4 linked regions of the Arabidopsis thaliana genome follow. The protein of the gene in region 1 interacts with the protein of each later gene in a pairwise test. Each region holds a gene or a part of one and is shown in the gene's direction. Other genes may lie near its edges.

Region 1 (3,487 bases):
GCCAATCGCCGCACCAACCGATTCTATGCAGACTACTCCAAGATCTAATACACGAGAAAGCGTGCAGGGAACACGGATTCTATCTCGGCATCACCGCTCTAAAAAGCATCGGTAACAACAAGAACAACAACATCGACAACGAAAACAATCATCAAGCAAAAATCCTCACATTCCCGGTGTCCTTCACATGCCGCACATTCTTGCCTGCAAGAGGAGATATCTTGCAAGGGACTGTAAAAAAAGTGTTGTGGAACGGAGCTTTTATCAGGTCAGGACCACTCAGATACGCATACCTCTCACTCTTGAAAATGCCACATTATCATTATGTCCACTCACCATTGTCGGAGGACGAGAAACCGCATTTTCAGAAAGACGACCTCTCAAAGATTGCTGTTGGAGTTGTTGTGCGGTTTCAGGTGTTGGCTGTGCGGTTTAAAGAGAGACCACACAAGAGAAGAAACGACTATTATGTTCTTGCAACTTTGGAAGGCAATGGTTCATTTGGTCCCATCTCTCTTACAGGGTCAGATGAGCCATACATGTAACCCAAACAAGGCACCAAAAGTTAAAAGTCTTTAGATACTTTTTTGCTTTTAGGTTAACCTCAGATTCGTTGGGGTTGTTTCGTGTTAAACTGGATCGACAAGAAATATTTGTAAACAAAGTTGACAGAACCAATTACATTCTATTAATTTCAATTGGTCAATACCGACAGAGTTACATATTGATATAATACTAATACATACAAAAGCATATAAGAAAATTAGTTGCTGAGCTATCTTCAAACTGCATCAATGGTGTGGTAACTCATTGAAAAGGATCATCTTTCATCTAAACCTCTGTGAATCAGACCACAGATTTGGATTTTTCATCACCATCGAGACATCTTCCATCTTCGAATTCATCAAAAGACGAGTCTCAGCAGGCTCTGGATACTCTTGAGTGCTCTAGTAATCGCCATCGATCAAACCCTCGAAATCTATGAGTTGATCAAAATCTAGGAATTGATCAAGATCTATCTCTTGATCTTCCAAGTTTCCTGTAGGTTTGTCGTTACTCTCAAAAATCGCCAAGATCTGATCATCGAATACAACCATCTCCGTTTCTTCTTTGAGACGATCATCATCAGGAACGCCAAAAGTTGCAGAACTTAACTGAAGATTTAGGGTTTCGTGTGAAACAAGATTCTTAATCTTGATGTCGTTGTTAATCTTGACGTCCTCTTGATGATCTCTTCGATAATTATTCACAGATTCCAATTCCTTCAGATCTCTCAACATCGTAGACATCGACTCAATCGCTTTTCTCAACTCCTCCGAATCCTCCGATTTAGCAAGACTCTCGTCTTCCACCATAACTCTAACCCTAGATTCTCTTTACGAACAAGACCCTGATCCTTGAGGAAAGCGGAAACAACAGAATCAACAGAGGAATGGCCGAAGGAGTAGAAGGAGACGTGAGAGTTGGAAGAACAAGGAGTCGTCAAGATCGCAACCTGTGAATCGGAGGAGAGAAGACATAATAGCTCCGCGGCTTTACTGTAAAGACCGGTACGACGTTTGGAGAAACAAACGGCTCGTGACTCTTTCTTCTGAATCTTCTCAATCGAAATTCTTCTCTTTAGTCCTCCCATTCTGCTTTCTTTGATTTCACAGAGATTTTGAGGGACACTACCTCTCTCTCTTTATAGATAGTGTATGTAACAAGAAACCTAGAAACAATTGTATATATAAAAATGTCGGTGGTTTTATAGGAGGGATCTAGGCCCGTATCAGGCCCATTGCAAGAGGAAATTCAAAATTTTGTCTTCTTTTGGCCCAAATCAATTTAATAAAATCTGAATTAGGGGTTTTGTTTTTTGATTTCATGATATAAACGACAAAAACCAAAAGTACATATATAACCAGAACTCAAGAGTCTTTTATAATAAAGGCAAACCGAAAAAACAGAACCGGTTATCAAGTCTCTCTCTTCCTTTTCTATCCAAATAACATCCACTTGTAATAATCTTATCGACAAACAATCGACCTATAACTACCCACGTGTCATCACGATACGATTATTATCCTCTCTGATCCAACGGACCCAAAACATCTATCTCTCTTTCTCGACCTTTTGTCTCCTCGATCTAAAGATGGCGGATTCGGACAACGATTCAGGAGGACACAAAGACGGTGGAAATGCTTCGACACGTGAGCAAGATAGGTTTCTACCGATCGCTAACGTTAGCAGGATCATGAAGAAAGCACTTCCTGCGAACGCAAAAATCTCTAAGGATGCTAAAGAAACGGTTCAAGAGTGTGTATCGGAATTCATAAGTTTCATCACCGGTGAGGCTTCTGACAAGTGTCAGAGAGAGAAGAGGAAGACAATCAACGGTGACGATCTTCTTTGGGCGATGACTACGCTAGGGTTTGAGGACTACGTGGAGCCTCTCAAGGTTTATCTGCAAAAGTATAGGGAGGTGGAAGGAGAGAAGACTACTACGGCAGGGAGACAAGGCGATAAGGAAGGTGGAGGAGGAGGCGGTGGAGCTGGAAGTGGAAGTGGAGGAGCTCCGATGTACGGTGGTGGCATGGTGACTACGATGGGACATCAATTTTCCCATCATTTTTCTTAATTGTAAAATGATAAAAGCAAATTTTCATTTTTATTAATTAATGATATATATATATATATGTTTAACTTTTAGTATAATGTTTACAGAATTTTTTTTTTAAAACTAGGTTCAACCCACTAACGTAACAAAATAAATATTAAATTTATGATTCGTAAGGTTAGGGTGTTACTTTTTTCAAAAAAAAAGAATAAAAGAAGGTTAGGGTGTTTATTCGTGAAAGATGAAAGTAACAAAAGTAAACTAGGATATCGAAGTTTATGGTTGAATTAGGAGGAAAAATCAAATGAGAGAGACATACATTTTTTTTAGAGTAAAATGTTTCCTAAAAAATTGTAGTGGGAATATAATTATAGCATCAAGCTAAAAAGAGTCATTGAAAAACTTTTTCTACTTTGATGCAGGGAACATGAGATGTAATCAAGGGCATATCTAAAACGTAACCTTTGATCTTTGATCTTTGATCTTTTTTTTTTTTTTTTTTTTTTTTGAAATTCAGGAGGTTCTGGGCCGAAGCCCGTAATTCCTCCAGGCCCGAAACCACAGCATGTAATATTAGTTTTTCTTTTAAAGTGTTGTGATGCGAAAATTTCATATTTGAGTCCAGGTTTTTAAGAGCTTGGGTTTTCCATTAGTCCATGTTATGCCACAAATATTCAAAGATTTTTTCTTACAAGCAATACTCAAATATCAAAACTAAGTTTCTATCAAAAAACTAAACAAAACATCAGCCAGGTAAAATCAGGAAAAAATAAAGAATTATCAACAAATACCATGACTACAATAACCAAACTGCTTTCCATTATTGTTTTTGTCAAGCAAATTGTATTCAACATTGAATTTCAAAACAGAGAAGATCATACGGTGTAG
Region 2 (5,125 bases), on another chromosome or scaffold:
GTTAGATAGTCTTTTAATATCAATGCCTTTATTACAAACGTAGTCTACATGTACTAATTTTCCAGTCAACATTCATAGTCACAAAATACGATAACATGAAAACTTTCATGAATTAGAAGAAGACGTTGATTGATAAAGAGAGAAGAACAACAACAAATTCAAATCACAAGATTAGCAGCAACTTTTAAGTTCCAGAGACGTTCCTCAACAGCGAGCTTAAAGCAAACATACGACTCAATCGACGCCTGAAGTACCTGATAATGGTTAAGGTTATAAACGCCCCAATCGCTCATACAAATCGCCGGATCTAACCTCACTCCTACGCGACCCAAACGCTCCTTCACGATCTGTTCAAACGAACAAAAACACATCCTAGCCCCTCTCGAATCTCTCACGAACATCCTTATGTCCAGAAGCTTCCCGATCTCCACTCGATGCCTACATTTCTCGAGTTTTTTCTGGTCTTGGCCGTTCCAAACGCCGACGAAAGTCGTTTTGGGATCGGCAAGGAAAGTGCGGAGGACTTTTGGGAGACCGTAATTGTAACCTAGTTGGATGATGAGACAGCGACTACCGACGCACAACTGGAGAGTTTTTGGTGGTGGATCTGGATCGGAACTATCCGGTCTCCACTGAACACCGATTCCAACGACGAGAGGATGTACCGAGTGATTACGGTTGTAGGAGCGGACGCTACGAATCCAGCGGCGGATAACGGAAGCAGTCGGCGTAACGGTGACGATCAAGTCGTCTCCGAAAAAATCGACAAAGTGTTTTTGGTGAGTACGGAAACTTCTGATTCTTTTGATCGTCGGAGCCATTGATCTGTCTTCTTCTTCCTTTCTCTAAATTTTTGAGCGAGTGTTAGAAAGAGAAGCGGTTTCTTTTTCTTGTTATAGGGTACATTTTTGTTTCTAGTTATAATCACCGTCGATCTTTGTAGTTTTAATCGTACGGTTGACAATGGAGATGCATGTACTGTCACATCGTCAGGCCTATCATAGATGTATACGCAAAACATTTACTAATTACTGTATTTTACGGCTCTGAATTTTTATTTTTATTTCCATAAAGGTTTGATGAAGACATGGAATATAATACTTTTTTACGTACTTCTTTTTACTAAAATAGTTTATTCAGTTATTTGGGGGCTTAATTAGGTAGATAACCATAACCTTTTTTTGTGTGTTTTTTTCACGAACAATGATTCACTGATGTAAAATCATAATTACTGATGAAGTTAACTTTCAACGTATAACGCTATGACGCAATTACTCTTGATATTTTTTCCTATATATTGGTTTGACAAAATTTTGTAACTTTAAATATAACTTCTGAAAAAATAAAAAAGTTGTAAATATAAATTCCACAACATTTTGTTTGGAACTTTGGATACATAGGCCACTTTGTTTTATCACACTTTATAATAAAGGTGGTTTCTGTTTTTTTTTTCTAAAATTCGACAGTTTGGTTTATAAGTATCTAAATTCAACTTGAAGACAAATAATTCTAACTTTATTTTATTTAAATTGTGATAAAAAAAAGTAACCCAAAACATATTTTTTGGTTCAGGCATATGTGTTACAACTTACAAGGATGCATTATCCTCAAACAAAATCCAATAAATAAAAAATAGAGAAGGTGGATGAAGATCTAAGAATTAATACTGTCACGAGAAAACGTATACAATCCACTAATACATAGCCACGTGTATGGTTAGATCTTTTCAAACAATCCGATTATATTTTGTGCTCCGCCGTATATTTATAACTAACATTACTTAATTAAATAACCATGTCGTCGACCCATTTTTTTTCTTTGACCCAAAACTTTAATTTGATTATATATATTTAATTTTAATTTTTCCATCGCACGGAGATTGTAACAAGGAAACCGCCGTCGCCGGATCTGATAGTGCATATCCATGAAGTAGAAGACGAAGAAACTTACTTTCTGATCTTAGAACGGAGTATATGTACAGAAGATTCGCGTCCCTCAATTTTTGATCTCAAGGGTCGGGTTTACCTTTTTTTCCTTCTTATTTTTGGTGGCTTTGCGTTTTCTCATTCGACGATTTCTGGATTTGGGGATTTCAAAACCATGAGGAAGAAGCTCGATACTCGGTTCCCAGCTGTAAGTTTTTCGTCTCTAATTGATCATTTCTGAAATTGAAGTCCAATTTCTCGGAAATTACTTTGATCTGTTGTTTTTCAGATCGAATTTCCAACACTATTTGGGATTAGATTAGTGTTCTACGATGAAAATTAGATTAAGTATCTCATTTCTGGCGAATTAGTTTTAGCAAATGACCTAGTAGTCAATTTCACCCTAATTTTTGTTGTGCTTGTTATATAGCTATAGTAATATGTGTTATGAAGATCCGCTATGGAATGTTTCATGTAAATTAGAGAATTCGAGAATTTAGGTGACTAGTGCTCGAAACGTGTTCTTTATCAACAAACCAGTCAGCTATTGGTTAGATAGTGTTGATTGAAGCAGGGATGTTATACACGAATTGTTTTTTCATAGGCTTGGAACTTTTTGTAGAGCTTCCAATTTGGCTAGCTAGATTTTGTTTAGCTTTATTGAATAAAACGTCAGATGATTTCATAAGTTGGTTATTGTTGATGGTGGTTTATTTTGTTTGAGCTGAGGCTAGAATATTAGTTTTTCACAGATTTTGACTTTCCATTTAATTTGTTAATATATTTTTGTTTGTATAATCTGATTGGTGATTGTACAGAGCGTGCTTGGTGTTTCTCAGTTCTACCATTTGCTTTATAATTCGTTTAGTAGTCTGTAATTATTGCCACACACACTGTGTGATGGTTGCTGTTTCTTCATTTGATGCATATATTACAATTTTTCAGGCTCGTATTAAAAAGATTATGCAAGCTGATGAGGATGTTGGCAAGATAGCTTTGGCAGTGCCTGTCTTAGTCTGTAAGTCATCTTGCTATCATTGACTTCAGTTTGAAAAGAGAATTATTGGAAACTTTACCCTTTGGCTAAATTTCATGTTCTCTTATTACAGCAAAATCTTTGGAGTTGTTCTTGCAAGACCTTTGTGATCGTACATATGAAATTACCCTTGAAAGAGGTGCCAAGACTGTGAGCTCATTGCACCTGTAAGTAACAGATTGGTTTACCTTTATTTTTGCTTTAACTCTGCATGCTAGCATCGTCATTATCTAAAGAGCATGAAAGGTTTCACTTGAATGCATTTTAAATTCTAGAGCTTTCAGATGTTGTAATTATTGATATTGTGGTTTAAGAGTTAACATGATGTTGTTAAGCGGAATAGCTTCCAACTCATAGGGCCTATTTTCACTGCATCCAACACCGAGAGGATGTTGTTTACTGTTACAGAATTTTATACCACAAATTTGGGATAAAGTTCTTATTTTTGCTCATCCATGTTTATCAAAGTGCTTTGTTGTTTACAGAAAACATTGTGTGGAAAGATATAACGTGTTTGATTTTCTGAGGGAAGTTGTGAGTAAGGTGCCTGACTATGGCCATTCCCAAGGGCAAGGACATGGTGATGTTACCATGGATGATCGCAGCATCTCCAAGAGAAGGTTGGATGTTTGATCTCTTAGTTCCATATGTTCTAGTTCTTTGTTTATAGTCCGTGTCAAGCTGATGTGAGATGGTTTATCAAAACAGGAAGCCCATCAGCGATGAAGTGAATGACAGTGACGAGGAATATAAGAAAAGCAAAACGGTGAGCTCGTGTTCTTCTTGAAATATTATACTTCATCATTCATTTGGTGTCTATTCCCAGCTCCTTAGATTCATTGAATATATTGGTAATCACTGCAGCAAGAGATAGGGAGTGCTAAGACCAGTGGCAGGGGTGGTAGAGGAAGAGGGCGAGGAAGAGGTCGTGGTGGACGAGCTGCAAAAGCAGCCGAAAGAGAGGGTCTCAACCGCGAGATGGAAGTAGAAGCCGCCAATTCTGGACAGCCACCACCAGAAGACAATGTCAAGATGCATGCGTCAGAGTCATCACCACAAGAGGATGAGAAGAAAGGCATCGACGGCACAGCAGCATCGAACGAAGACACCAAGCAACACCTTCAAAGTCCCAAAGAAGGCATTGACTTTGATCTCAACGCTGAATCCCTCGACCTAAACGAGACCAAACTGGCACCAGCCACAGGCACAACCACAACCACAACTGCAGCAACAGACTCTGAGGAGTATTCGGGCTGGCCTATGATGGACATAAGCAAAATGGATCCAGCACAGCTTGCTAGTCTGGGTAAGAGGATAGACGAGGATGAGGAAGATTATGACGAAGAAGGCTAAGTCATAACAGCACTATAGGATATATAGAGTAGCAGCGTTTAGCAGTTTGTCTAGAAAATGCTTCTTCTGTCATCAAAATCTTCTCCTGTTTCCATTTATTGTATGAACCAAAGATTGCATGCACTCTATGAAACTTAATTTATTCTCCTGATTTGTTATTTAAGGTTTTAGAGTTTTACATCAGAAGTTAAAATATCTTACAGAGTAAGTAAACACTCAAAAGTACATAAACAAAGGAGAGGGACTAGTCATGGTGTTGCTCCGCGTGGTTGAGATGAAGAGCACCTTCATGGTTCTTGTGAACTTCCACCTTGAACTTTTCCTCTTTTTCTCCCCTCTTCAACTTCAGTAGCATGTTGTATTTTGCAGCCTCGCCGGTTACCTGTGTCCATGTTTTTAATATTAAGCTCATTAATCTTGTAATCACCAACTATTACAACTCAGACGTTAGTCCTCATACCAAGGAGAACCAATATGTTGCTTAAAGTCTTTTCTACTTCTAAAACTTCAACACCATTCGGTTTCACTGACACTTGATTTCGTTTATTTGCAATTTCTCAGATGAAATTCATGCAAAAACATTGTCAAAATCTGACAAGTTCTCTATTGAAATTCATTTTGTGCAATTAAGATCGAAGATAGAGTATATAGTAAATTAAAGCCATACCTCAGCTTTAGCATGCACAACCTCCAGAAGTTCATAAGGGAACAAGGAGTTAGACCTCTGCTGAATGGTCTTGACAGCCTGCTCAGCAACATGCTTCACTTCTGGATCATCTCCGGGAACTTCCCTCCATCCAGATTCATGTTC
Region 3 (5,597 bases), on another chromosome or scaffold:
CGATTGTTATTTTATTTGGAGTCGTACGTTGAAGTGAAGTAGATAGTATTATTTCTTGTATGTTAGGACTTAGGTTTGGTGTTTATATATCGTGAATTCTCTTTGATTTGATGTATATATATGTGTGTGTGTGTGTGTGATGCCTATTTTACGATTCGTATTTTAAAAAGCTTGGTTTTGTGGGTGTTTATCACTGCATGAATTAAATGACGTACTTATATGATGCATGTGACAAGACTATGAATCGACATATGTTGGATAATTATCATATGTATATGAAAAGTTAAGGTTGGGGAAAAAAAAAGTCAGTATGCGTGTATCAATGTATGATTTGTTGTAGTATGTAATATAGAATCTAAACGGATTGCATGTCAGTACCACATGGATGTGCGGGTTAACGTTTGTTGTTTCCCACAAAACCGCGATAGTAATCAAGAAAGTTAAACGGATTGCATGTCAGTATTTACTAGTTCGAAACTTGGTTGGTATGAACTGCATGTTAATTATATTTTTAATGACTTCAAAGTGTTTGCTTAATGTTTTTAGTTATGATTTTATGTTTAAATTATAGATAATCTCTAGAACAAAACCAAACGTTTTAGCGGTTATTTTGATCAACAATATGATTGATATATACTAAAGATGGCATATCTATAGATGATTATAACTAGGTATACAAAATAAGTAAACCATAGCATCTTAAAAACAATTCTACTATAAACGATATTTTTGTTTGTTTGTGTAGACCTTTGATATTCATTGATATCATCACTTACTGAAAAAATAAAAAATTGAATAAGCAAAAAGCTGAATACCGACGACTGTCGATCCTTAAACTCACGAATCACGATTGTCAAACGCACGCTCACGGCTCACGGGAAGCTTTAGCCGCTATGATAAACGGTATCTTTTATCTAGGCGGCCAAAACTTTGTTCACCATAACACTTCAAACACAAATGTAGACCATTACACATATATAATCAAATGGTTTCCACTTAATATATGTTAGTATTCAAAATAACAAGATATTTTAAAAGCATAACAAGAGTTAGTGTCTCTATTTTCTCCCCACCTTCTTTCTAAATATAAATATTGCGTATGATTCATCATTTTCGCCTTTTTTTAATGGCTAACGTTCGGTGGTTGAGTGTCTGAGTGTCTGAGTGTCTGAGTCATATGCTATATATTATGCTTTGTCATTTTCCATATCATATTTGTGTATCCCCTTGTCCATGACCGATTAATTAATTTCGCTCTCACAACAAACACTTCACTAGAGAAAATATAATTACCATCTGTTCCCCTGAAACAATACATAATCAATGATGATATCAACATCAAGTGTTATAGTGAGAAATGCACAGCGAAATTTCTCAATTCGGTTTAGTATTCCAACAAATAAATCAATTATTGTTCACAAAGACGATCTGGCCAAAACTCATATAAATGTTATGTGTTATGGATCCTTTAATCTCCGTAATAACACCAAATTACTAAACTTCGAACGTATTTTACCTTTTGTAACCATTTAATATGATTTTAATAAACTTTTCATAGTTTTTTTTTTTACCTACAATTATTTATGGAAAATATTTTTTTCAGTTGTATTATTATTATTATTTTCTTAAAACAACTATATTTTTTTCATGAAGGGAAAACACTTTATATTATTTTGTGAAAGAAAGAAATTACAAATATTGAACTAATTAACTTATTTCTTTAACAAAAAAAAATCTTTTAATTGTTTTTGCCAATAGGGTCCCCACATTTTACAGGTGTCCCTCGTCCCAGCCCATCACTTGCGTGTCACTTGGACCCAAATTTCTCCTGTTTTTTAAAAGAAATTTAATTTCTTTCTAGTATATAAGAAAAAACAAAACAAATTAAAAATGAACCTATGATAACGTCAGCCGGAGAAGATCCCAGATCTGCGCGCGCTGGCATCTTTCATAGAGCGCCACGTGGCAAAAAGATTTTTCACTTTCGTAAGTGATCTTATCAAATCTCGGTCTTTTGTGTAAATTCATCATCATCATATAACTTACTCTATTTCGATTTTTCAATAAATTACTTAATATCAAAAACCACAATTCTGGCAAAAAAGAAAAATCCCCAAAATCTAGGGTTTTCTTCTCGCCCAATTTCACTTTTCTTCTACGAAATTCTCCATTCCTGCCGGCTGTCGGGTTTTCTGAATCGATTCTCCTTCACCAACTTCTTCTCTGGTTCTGTTCGATTCTGATTTTTTTTCAAGGTCAATTTTTTCTTCTCTTTAAACTCTGCAAAATCGTGATCGATTAAATTCACCTCAGGGTTTTTTGATTTCTGAAAGAAGTTAATCTTCTTCGAAGGCGATTGCAAAAGAGTGCTCTGCTGTGAATTTCCACTGGTATGTTCAATTTTTTCTGTTTTTGAAATTTTGTTTGCTAGAATTCGTGAAGGGATTGAAAAAATTGATGCAGGTGGCTAAAGAATCTCTTGAATATTACGAGCTTATGTAGGTTTAGAGTGTAAATTCGAGACATGTGAGATTTTGGTGCTTTCTCATATTTTTGCATGCTTCTGCATTGCTTCATAGCCCTAAAATTGCTCTCTTTTTTTTGTAGTTGGAGTCTGTATCTTTTTCACGGTTTTAGTGATGAATTTTTTTTTTTGATTGGATTTTGAATTGGTTACTGAACATGTGTTGACTTGATTATGTAGAGATGCAATCAAAACCGGGAAGAGAAAACGAAGAGGAAGTCAATAATCACCATGCTGTTCAGCAGCCGATGATGTATGCAGAGCCCTGGTGGAAAAACAACTCCTTTGGTGTTGTACCTCAAGCGAGACCTTCTGGAATTCCATCAAATTCCTCTTCTTTGGATTGCCCCAATGGTTCCGAGTCAAACGATGTTCATTCAGCATCTGAAGACGGTGCGTTGAATGGTGAAAACGATGGCACTTGGAAGGATTCACAAGCTGCAACTTCCTCTCGTTCAGGTTTGAGTTCTTGGTCTTTAGGCCTACTTGGTGTATTGTTCATATTCATCATTTCTGCAGTACTGTTTTACTGGATGACCTAGTGATCACTGTCGAAAGTGATGTTGTTCCACGTTCGGAATGTTGCAACTTGGTGAAGAGTTGTTCCTCAAGCAGGCAGGGAAATTAAATGGGCATTTGTGTGATTCGGCACTATAGGGCGTGTCAAGTTCATGAATCTGGTCCTTGAAATATACTTGCATTGTAATTGTAGGGTTTCATAGTTCTATCCATGCCAAGGAGATTCTGTCTCGTTGATATGTGCATTGTGATTTCTTTATTTTGTTTGTAATGGTGTCTTTCTTCAACTTCAGTAGATAATCACGGAATGGAAGGAAATGACCCAGCGCTCTCTATCCGTAACATGCATGATCAGCCACTTGTACAACCACCAGAGCTTGTTGGACACTATATCGTATGTGGTTTCCTCTCATTCCTTAATATATATATATATATGCTTTATGAGTTCTTGAGCTGTTAAATTGACTTCTTATTGGTCCCTCAAAAGGATTTATCTTGTATAACGCCCTTTTCATATGTATGATAAACTCAAAACTTCCTTACAGGCTTGTGTCCCAAACCCATATCAGGATCCATATTATGGGGGATTGATGGGAGCATATGGTCATCAGCAATTGGTATCTTGTCGAAACCTCTTTCAATCTCTACAATAGTTCCATATGGTGCAGTGTTTATTTGATGTATGTGCGCTTTTGCCACTAAGTACCCGTTTGTGGTGATTTTATTTACTGTTGGAATGTGTCTGGGTTCAGCAATAGTCAGTGAGATGCTTTTAAAGTTCATTTCTGAAATAACTGAGAATCCAAAGTTATATCTGAAATTATCGAGAACAACTAATGGGGATTCTTGGGGTCTTATAAGTTATATGTAAAGTTTTCGATGATCTGAGTCTATTTGTTGCATTTATTTTGTTCATTGGTTTAAACAGGGTTTTCGTCCATATCTTGGAATGCCTCGTGAAAGAACAGCTCTGCCACTTGACATGGCACAAGAGCCCGTTTATGTGAATGCAAAGCAGTACGAGGGAATTCTAAGGCGAAGAAAAGCACGTGCCAAGGCAGAGCTAGAGAGGAAAGTCATCCGGGACAGAAAGGTATTTTTTTCTCATTTATGAAAATTGTACTTGATTGGTGTCCTGGTAATCTAAGGATGGTGTAGAGTCCATAATAGAAGTGGACCCATGCTATATGAAGGATTGATAATGAGCATTAAGAATTTGCAAGTTTGGTTTGTCGCTCGGTAAACTTGTATTGACTATGTTTGAAATGCGACAGCCATATCTTCACGAGTCAAGACACAAGCATGCAATGAGAAGGGCACGAGCGAGTGGAGGCCGGTTTGCGAAGAAAAGTGAGGTAGAAGCGGGAGAGGATGCAGGAGGGAGAGACAGAGAAAGGGGTTCAGCAACCAACTCATCAGGCTCTGAACAAGTTGAGACAGACTCTAATGAGACCCTGAATTCTTCTGGTGCACCATAATAAAAAAAGCCAAAGCTCTGAGAGGAGAGAGAGACACACACTTTGGCTAATATAATCATTGCCTCAAACCGGCAAATCATTCTTGGCTTTTTCGTTTTTGTGTTTGCTAGTTGTTCTTGTCAGAGTCTCATATTGTGTGGGTTTAACAGTTATGATGAATGTACAAAGAGCGAGTTATGTTAGGTGTTAGATTTTGGAGACAAGAGACTAAGGAATAGCAAGTAGGTCTTGTTTTTATTCTTTGACCTTTTTTTTCTCTTTTGCAAAATTGAAAAATACGTTTGCTTAATCGTTTGCCTTTCTGACCACAAAGTGTTAACAAGGCTATAACAATGCTTCAGATTTGTAGTCAAATTCTCTGTTTTCGCCAACTTAAACATTATTTGACCGGAGGAGAGTGATTAGAAAGTAGAAGAAACCTATTAAACATTATGTTTTGCAAAGAAAAAAAAAACAGCTTGCAATAAGTTGCATAGTTTGCTCATGGAAGTTTCAAGTTTGCATATAAACCAGATTTGAAAAGGACAGTGAAAAAAAAGAAGTTGTTAAATCTACAACGGGCAGATCGATTATTTATATCAACAAAAAACACGAAGAGCATATGAAAGAGAATATGGAAACACATAAAAAATTAAGAGTTGTCATTCTTTGAATCCCCGCAAGCAAGAAGAAGAAGAAGAAGAAGAGAGTCAATTTGTGTGTTTTGTCATTTGAAGAAGAGAGAGAAAGAGGAAGACTTTGACTCGTCTTCTTCCTCTCTTCTTCTCTCTCTATCACTGCATTTGTTTTTCCTCACAGCGTATGATGACTTTTCTCTTTAATTTATCCTTTTTAGCTACATATCTTCTTTTGCTTCAACTGATTTATACCCATTTAAATGTTTCTACCCATTATAAGTTCTGAGGTCTGTGTTTTCCCTCTTTCCCTTGTCTTTGATCTTAGCTAGGGTTTACTAATCTGGTTTGAGTATATTAGATTAGGGTTCTGTTTGATTTAGGATATGTTGTTAATTAGAAATAGTTATTGGCTTAAGTTACTAATGGAACCTTGAAGAACAGTGCTCAAAGTTTTAATCT
Region 4 (4,566 bases), on another chromosome or scaffold:
GGTTTGCTTTTATAATCGGTTTGGTATTTTTCGGTTTAATTGTGACTTGATTTTATTTTTTTCCTTTTAAGAGAACCAATTTTTTCTTTCTGCTTTGTACTCGATGTCTGCCCTTTTTGCTCAACAAGCTTTACCAGATTGTATTCTGGTATTTCATCAGGCTAGAAATGGAGAAAGAAAAGTTGGAGCTGCCAAACCCACAGGAGTTGTGTTCTCACTGGAAATGTTACATTAAATATCATTGCAAAACAACTACTAATACATTGAATCTCCTTTGATTTTGGTCCAAAGAAAGGTGAATAACTTTTGATTTTGGTGCATATGGGATGATGACGGACTGATGAGTACCCAATATCCAGTGCCCACGTGTCCTAATTCTTATGGATCAATCAAGGGCTTAAAAGCCCATAAACATTAAACAGAGGGAATAAAGGAATGCTAAAAACTAATTAAGAAAACATCAAGTAACAATTATTATGTTTTGGTTGTTACTTGTTACTTCCAAGGATAAAGGAGGGATTCCTATGCTTGACTTGCACTAGAGCTTTATTTCATTGCAAAAAAGGTTAGGTACTTGATTAAGAACCCAACCTAAGTTTTAGTATTATACAATCCTTTTTCCCATCTCATTTTACATGCTTACACTTTCATTAAACTATTATACTCAAGGAAACTGGTTGCAGGTCTATAACTTGTAAATTAAAACTGTTCGTGTTATTTATTCCCATGATAAAATTGTAAGAGCGTGTGAATCACGAGCTTAGGAGAGCGTGTGAATCACGAGCTTAGGAGAGCGTGTGACATCAATATGGGGAGGGGCGGCTAAAGACTAACGAGTAAAGGCATAAGGGGGAAATTAAGGACTGTTCAGAGTTCAGAAATGTTTTTAGTCTGGAAACGACAATACACTTTGGACAAAAAGCTAAATAACATTTTAAAAGCTTCATACAAATTAAAAATATAATCAAACAAAAGCTAACGTGGCCAAGATAGCTAATTACTTTTTTGGAATCATTATTAGAGATAATGGAAATTAAGAAATCATACAGCCAAAACAAACCGTAGTTATTATATTCGTAACAAAAGATGGGGGAAAAGTTAATATAAAACAAACCTTATACTAGTATATATAATACATGGCTCATAATACATTACTGCTAAATGAGCAAAAACAAATAAAGGTAAAGTTCTTAACGGCTTTGTAGAGATAGGAATCATTAATTTTAGAGAAAAAAAAATCTTGAATTGTACGTTTACCTTTCCAGAATTACATTATTTGTTGGCTTTTAATTGTTAATCATTTTTGTTGTGTTTTTCCTCCAAATTATAAAATTTAAAAACTGTGTCAGGGAATTTAGGAATCTAATATAGTTGGACGATTTCGTATTAATAAAGATTTTCAAAAAAAGAGTCTGCTCTAATCGTTATTTGGGGGTAAATTGATTCTATAAGGTAGGGTTAGCCAGAGAGCCTTATTCTGTGTTTTGGGTTAAAGTGAGACCAAATAAATTAAGATATTTAAAATGAATAATTAAGAGCACTTAAGACAATAATTAACCCAGAAGGAGAAGCTGGTGTAGTGGTGGTTCTCATGGCGATGTTGGTTTCCCAGGAAAGGTAAAAGAGACGGAGACGAACCAAAACAAGGAAGAAAGAAGAAGATCTTACATACGAAGATCACTCTCTGATTCACTCTGAGAGACAAACTGGTTTACTTTGGTTCTGTTTGACAAAAGGAGACATGCAAAAATAAATCTCTATCCCTTGTTTTTCTTCTTCGCTTCATCGATTACTCAAAGAGGTTTCTTTCTCTATCTCTTATCTATTTCTTTCTGCATCTGTAGTCTCTTTGTTCGAAAAAAAGATGTTTAATTTCTGTCAAATTTTTCTCCTTTTTTCTTTGTTCGATTATTGGTGTATCTGTCTTGTGGCGTGCGATTGATGTTTACTGATTCTGAAAAATTCTTGCTAAAATAATTCATCTTCAAGTCAACGACTTTTTGCCCAAAAGTGATGACGGGAACAAGAAATTTTTCTTGGTCGGAAAATTACTAATTTTAGCCAATCGTAGCGATCTCTGCAATCGTGTTTTGGTTACCCAAGATAGTACGATCGAATCAGTTCGTTTAGAGAATTAAAAAATTACTCAAATTTAGAAACTTCCAACTTCTGTTTCTTTCTATTCTGGGTTTTTTCACCCACTTGGATTATTAGCTTTAAAAATCTAATCTTTGAGTCATTTTTGATTGTTATTTAGGTTGTTGGTTGTGAGAATAATTAGCTTGTTAAGGAAGACGTTATGATGCATCAGATGTTGAATAAGAAAGATTCAGCTACTCATTCCACTTTGCCATACCTTAATACTAGCATCTCTTGGGGAGTGGTTCCAACTGATTCCGTTGCTAATCGTCGCGGTTCTGCTGAATCACTAAGCTTGAAGGTTGATTCAAGACCTGGGCATATACAAACTACAAAGCAAATCAGTTTTCAGGACCAAGATTCATCTTCAACACAGTCCACTGGTCAATCTTATACTGAAGTTGCTAGTAGTGGTGATGATAATCCTTCCAGACAAATCTCCTTTTCGGCTAAATCAGGTTAGATTGTTGGTATATATATGTTTTACTTCTTGTGTCATTGACAAAAGAATCATCCTTTTGCCATAAAGAATGTTATCCTCTTTCTTACTTTCTCAGTTGTTTCTCTAGGATCTGAAATAACTCAACGGAAGGGGTTTGCAAGTAATCCTAAACAAGGCTCGATGACTGGATTTCCGAATATTCACTTTGCTCCTGCACAGGTATTTGTAACTCTATGAATACAGTAATCATAGCAAAGCTTTTGATTGTAGACTGATATCTTATGTTTATACATGGTTCAGGCTAATTTCTCATTTCACTATGCTGATCCACATTATGGTGGTTTATTAGCTGCAACTTACCTACCACAGGCACCAGTAAGTACACCCTTCGTTTCCAAGTGGGAGATTTACCTTTCAGTTTTATCTGTCCATCAGATCTCAAGTCTCTTAATCTCTTTTGCAGACATGCAATCCTCAAATGGTGAGTATGATTCCTGGTCGTGTTCCTTTACCAGCAGAGCTCACAGAAACTGATCCAGTCTTTGTCAATGCGAAGCAATACCACGCAATTATGAGGAGGAGACAGCAACGTGCTAAGCTTGAGGCTCAAAACAAACTAATCAGAGCCCGTAAGGTAGTTACCAAATTTTGGTTTATATTTTAAACAAACGCATACACGTAGAATTGCTTTGCTCATCTTTTCTTTTTCTTATTGCAACAGCCCTATCTTCATGAGTCTCGACATGTTCATGCTCTTAAAAGGCCAAGAGGATCTGGTGGAAGATTCCTAAACACCAAAAAACTTCTTCAAGAATCCGAACAGGCTGCTGCTAGAGAACAAGAACAGGACAAGTTAGGCCAACAGGTAAACAGAAAGACCAACATGTCTAGATTCGAAGCTCATATGCTGCAGAACAACAAAGACCGCAGCTCAACCACTTCTGGCTCAGACATCACCTCTGTTTCCGACGGTGCTGATATCTTTGGACACACTGAATTCCAGTTTTCAGGTTTCCCAACTCCGATAAACCGAGCCATGCTTGTTCATGGTCAGTCTAATGACATGCATGGAGGTGGAGACATGCACCATTTCTCTGTCCATATCTGAGACAGTGGATCTTGGTGCTGTGTTCATGTTCCCACCAAGAAGGGGAAGTCATCCTTGGCTACTACTAGTTCTTTCGCTTGTTGTAACTTCAGTGTTTTTATTTCATATTATGTCTGTGTTAGACATCACAAGAACGACCAAGATCTTCACTTTGAAACACTCTATTACCTTTTCATCTTCTGTTACCATGGATCTCTTGTCTAAACTAGTGATATGATTCTTCTGATAAACTTTCAATTCCTCTTTTGTTTTTTTCAGGATTTATATATGTTTGTTTTTGCTTCATTTGTGTCGGCAATGAAGAAGTCTCCTTATTCTGTTTGAAAATGGCGAAGAAAAATACAGATTCTGGTTCCACTCCATTGATTTCTGTGAAGAGACACATTCGGATTCTTGAAGTATTTTACAATTTAGTTGACAATGTTTAAGAAAACATTTAATGAAGAATCCAGTATATATTAGATTATGTCTTATTCTTGATACACTTCTTATAAATAAAGTAAAAAAGGTTGAAAGATTCTACTTTGAGTCTCATTTTATCTGTCTGAGAAGATGTCATACACTTGAAAATACTACCATTTCTTCCACACGTTCATGAATATTTTTTTCAAAATATCAAGGCAGTCTCTATGCATTATTTCCTATTTAAGATATAATATTTTGATAAGGTAAGAAGAAACGTAAAATACTGCTCCAAAACACGTTGACTTATGGGACAGATACACACACACTTGTGTCCCTCAAATACTAACAAATGATCATAATTTAACTTCTGTAAAGAAAAAGACAGCATTGTGAAATATATAAAGTCACAATCCTGTACATATCACTTTCGCAAGTGATTCATGAATTACTTCTAAATATAACATGTTGCCAA

The links.
Region 2: the proteins of NF-YB3 (region 1) and NF-YC11 interact in a two-hybrid assay, tested with the Arabidopsis thaliana proteins (2 studies listed by BioGRID).
Region 3: the proteins of NF-YB3 (region 1) and NF-YA1 interact in a two-hybrid assay, tested with the Arabidopsis thaliana proteins (one study listed by BioGRID).
Region 4: the proteins of NF-YB3 (region 1) and NF-YA3 interact in a two-hybrid assay, tested with the Arabidopsis thaliana proteins (2 studies listed by BioGRID).

What each region holds. Positions count from the first base shown.
Region 1 is NC_003075.7:8,342,529-8,346,015, forward strand, and holds NF-YB3 (nuclear factor Y, subunit B3), read left to right. Parts: upstream 1-1,820; 5' UTR 1,821-2,134; coding exon 2,135-2,620; 3' UTR 2,621-2,796; downstream 2,797-3,487. Other genes in the region: AT4G14520 (DNA-directed RNA polymerase II-like protein), read left to right, coding at 1-545; AT4G14530 (agamous-like MADS-box protein), read right to left, coding at 948-1,355. UniProt on the Arabidopsis thaliana protein: Component of the NF-Y/HAP transcription factor complex. The NF-Y complex stimulates the transcription of various genes by recognizing and binding to a CCAAT motif in promoters.
Region 2 is NC_003074.8:3,955,965-3,961,089, forward strand, and holds NF-YC11 (nuclear factor Y, subunit C11), read left to right. Parts: upstream 1-1,798; 5' UTR 1,799-2,100; coding exon 2,101-2,133; intron 2,134-2,870; coding exon 2,871-2,943; intron 2,944-3,034; coding exon 3,035-3,128; intron 3,129-3,446; coding exon 3,447-3,581; intron 3,582-3,669; coding exon 3,670-3,727; intron 3,728-3,825; coding exon 3,826-4,314; 3' UTR 4,315-4,508; downstream 4,509-5,125. Other genes in the region: AT3G12470 (Polynucleotidyl transferase, ribonuclease H-like superfamily protein), read right to left, coding at 159-821; CYSB (cystatin B), read right to left, coding at 4,559-4,696, 4,982-5,125.
Region 3 is NC_003076.8:4,050,071-4,055,667, reverse strand, and holds NF-YA1 (nuclear factor Y, subunit A1), read left to right. Parts: upstream 1-1,998; 5' UTR 1,999-2,390; intron 2,391-2,704; 5' UTR 2,705-2,706; coding exon 2,707-2,983; intron 2,984-3,336; coding exon 3,337-3,437; intron 3,438-3,588; coding exon 3,589-3,660; intron 3,661-3,971; coding exon 3,972-4,136; intron 4,137-4,317; coding exon 4,318-4,521; 3' UTR 4,522-4,888; downstream 4,889-5,597. UniProt on the Arabidopsis thaliana protein: Stimulates the transcription of various genes by recognizing and binding to a CCAAT motif in promoters.
Region 4 is NC_003070.9:27,404,822-27,409,387, reverse strand, and holds NF-YA3 (nuclear factor Y, subunit A3), read left to right. Parts: upstream 1-1,847; 5' UTR 1,848-2,106; intron 2,107-2,257; 5' UTR 2,258-2,299; coding exon 2,300-2,597; intron 2,598-2,708; coding exon 2,709-2,800; intron 2,801-2,881; coding exon 2,882-2,956; intron 2,957-3,044; coding exon 3,045-3,218; intron 3,219-3,302; coding exon 3,303-3,689; 3' UTR 3,690-3,927; downstream 3,928-4,566. UniProt on the Arabidopsis thaliana protein: Stimulates the transcription of various genes by recognizing and binding to a CCAAT motif in promoters.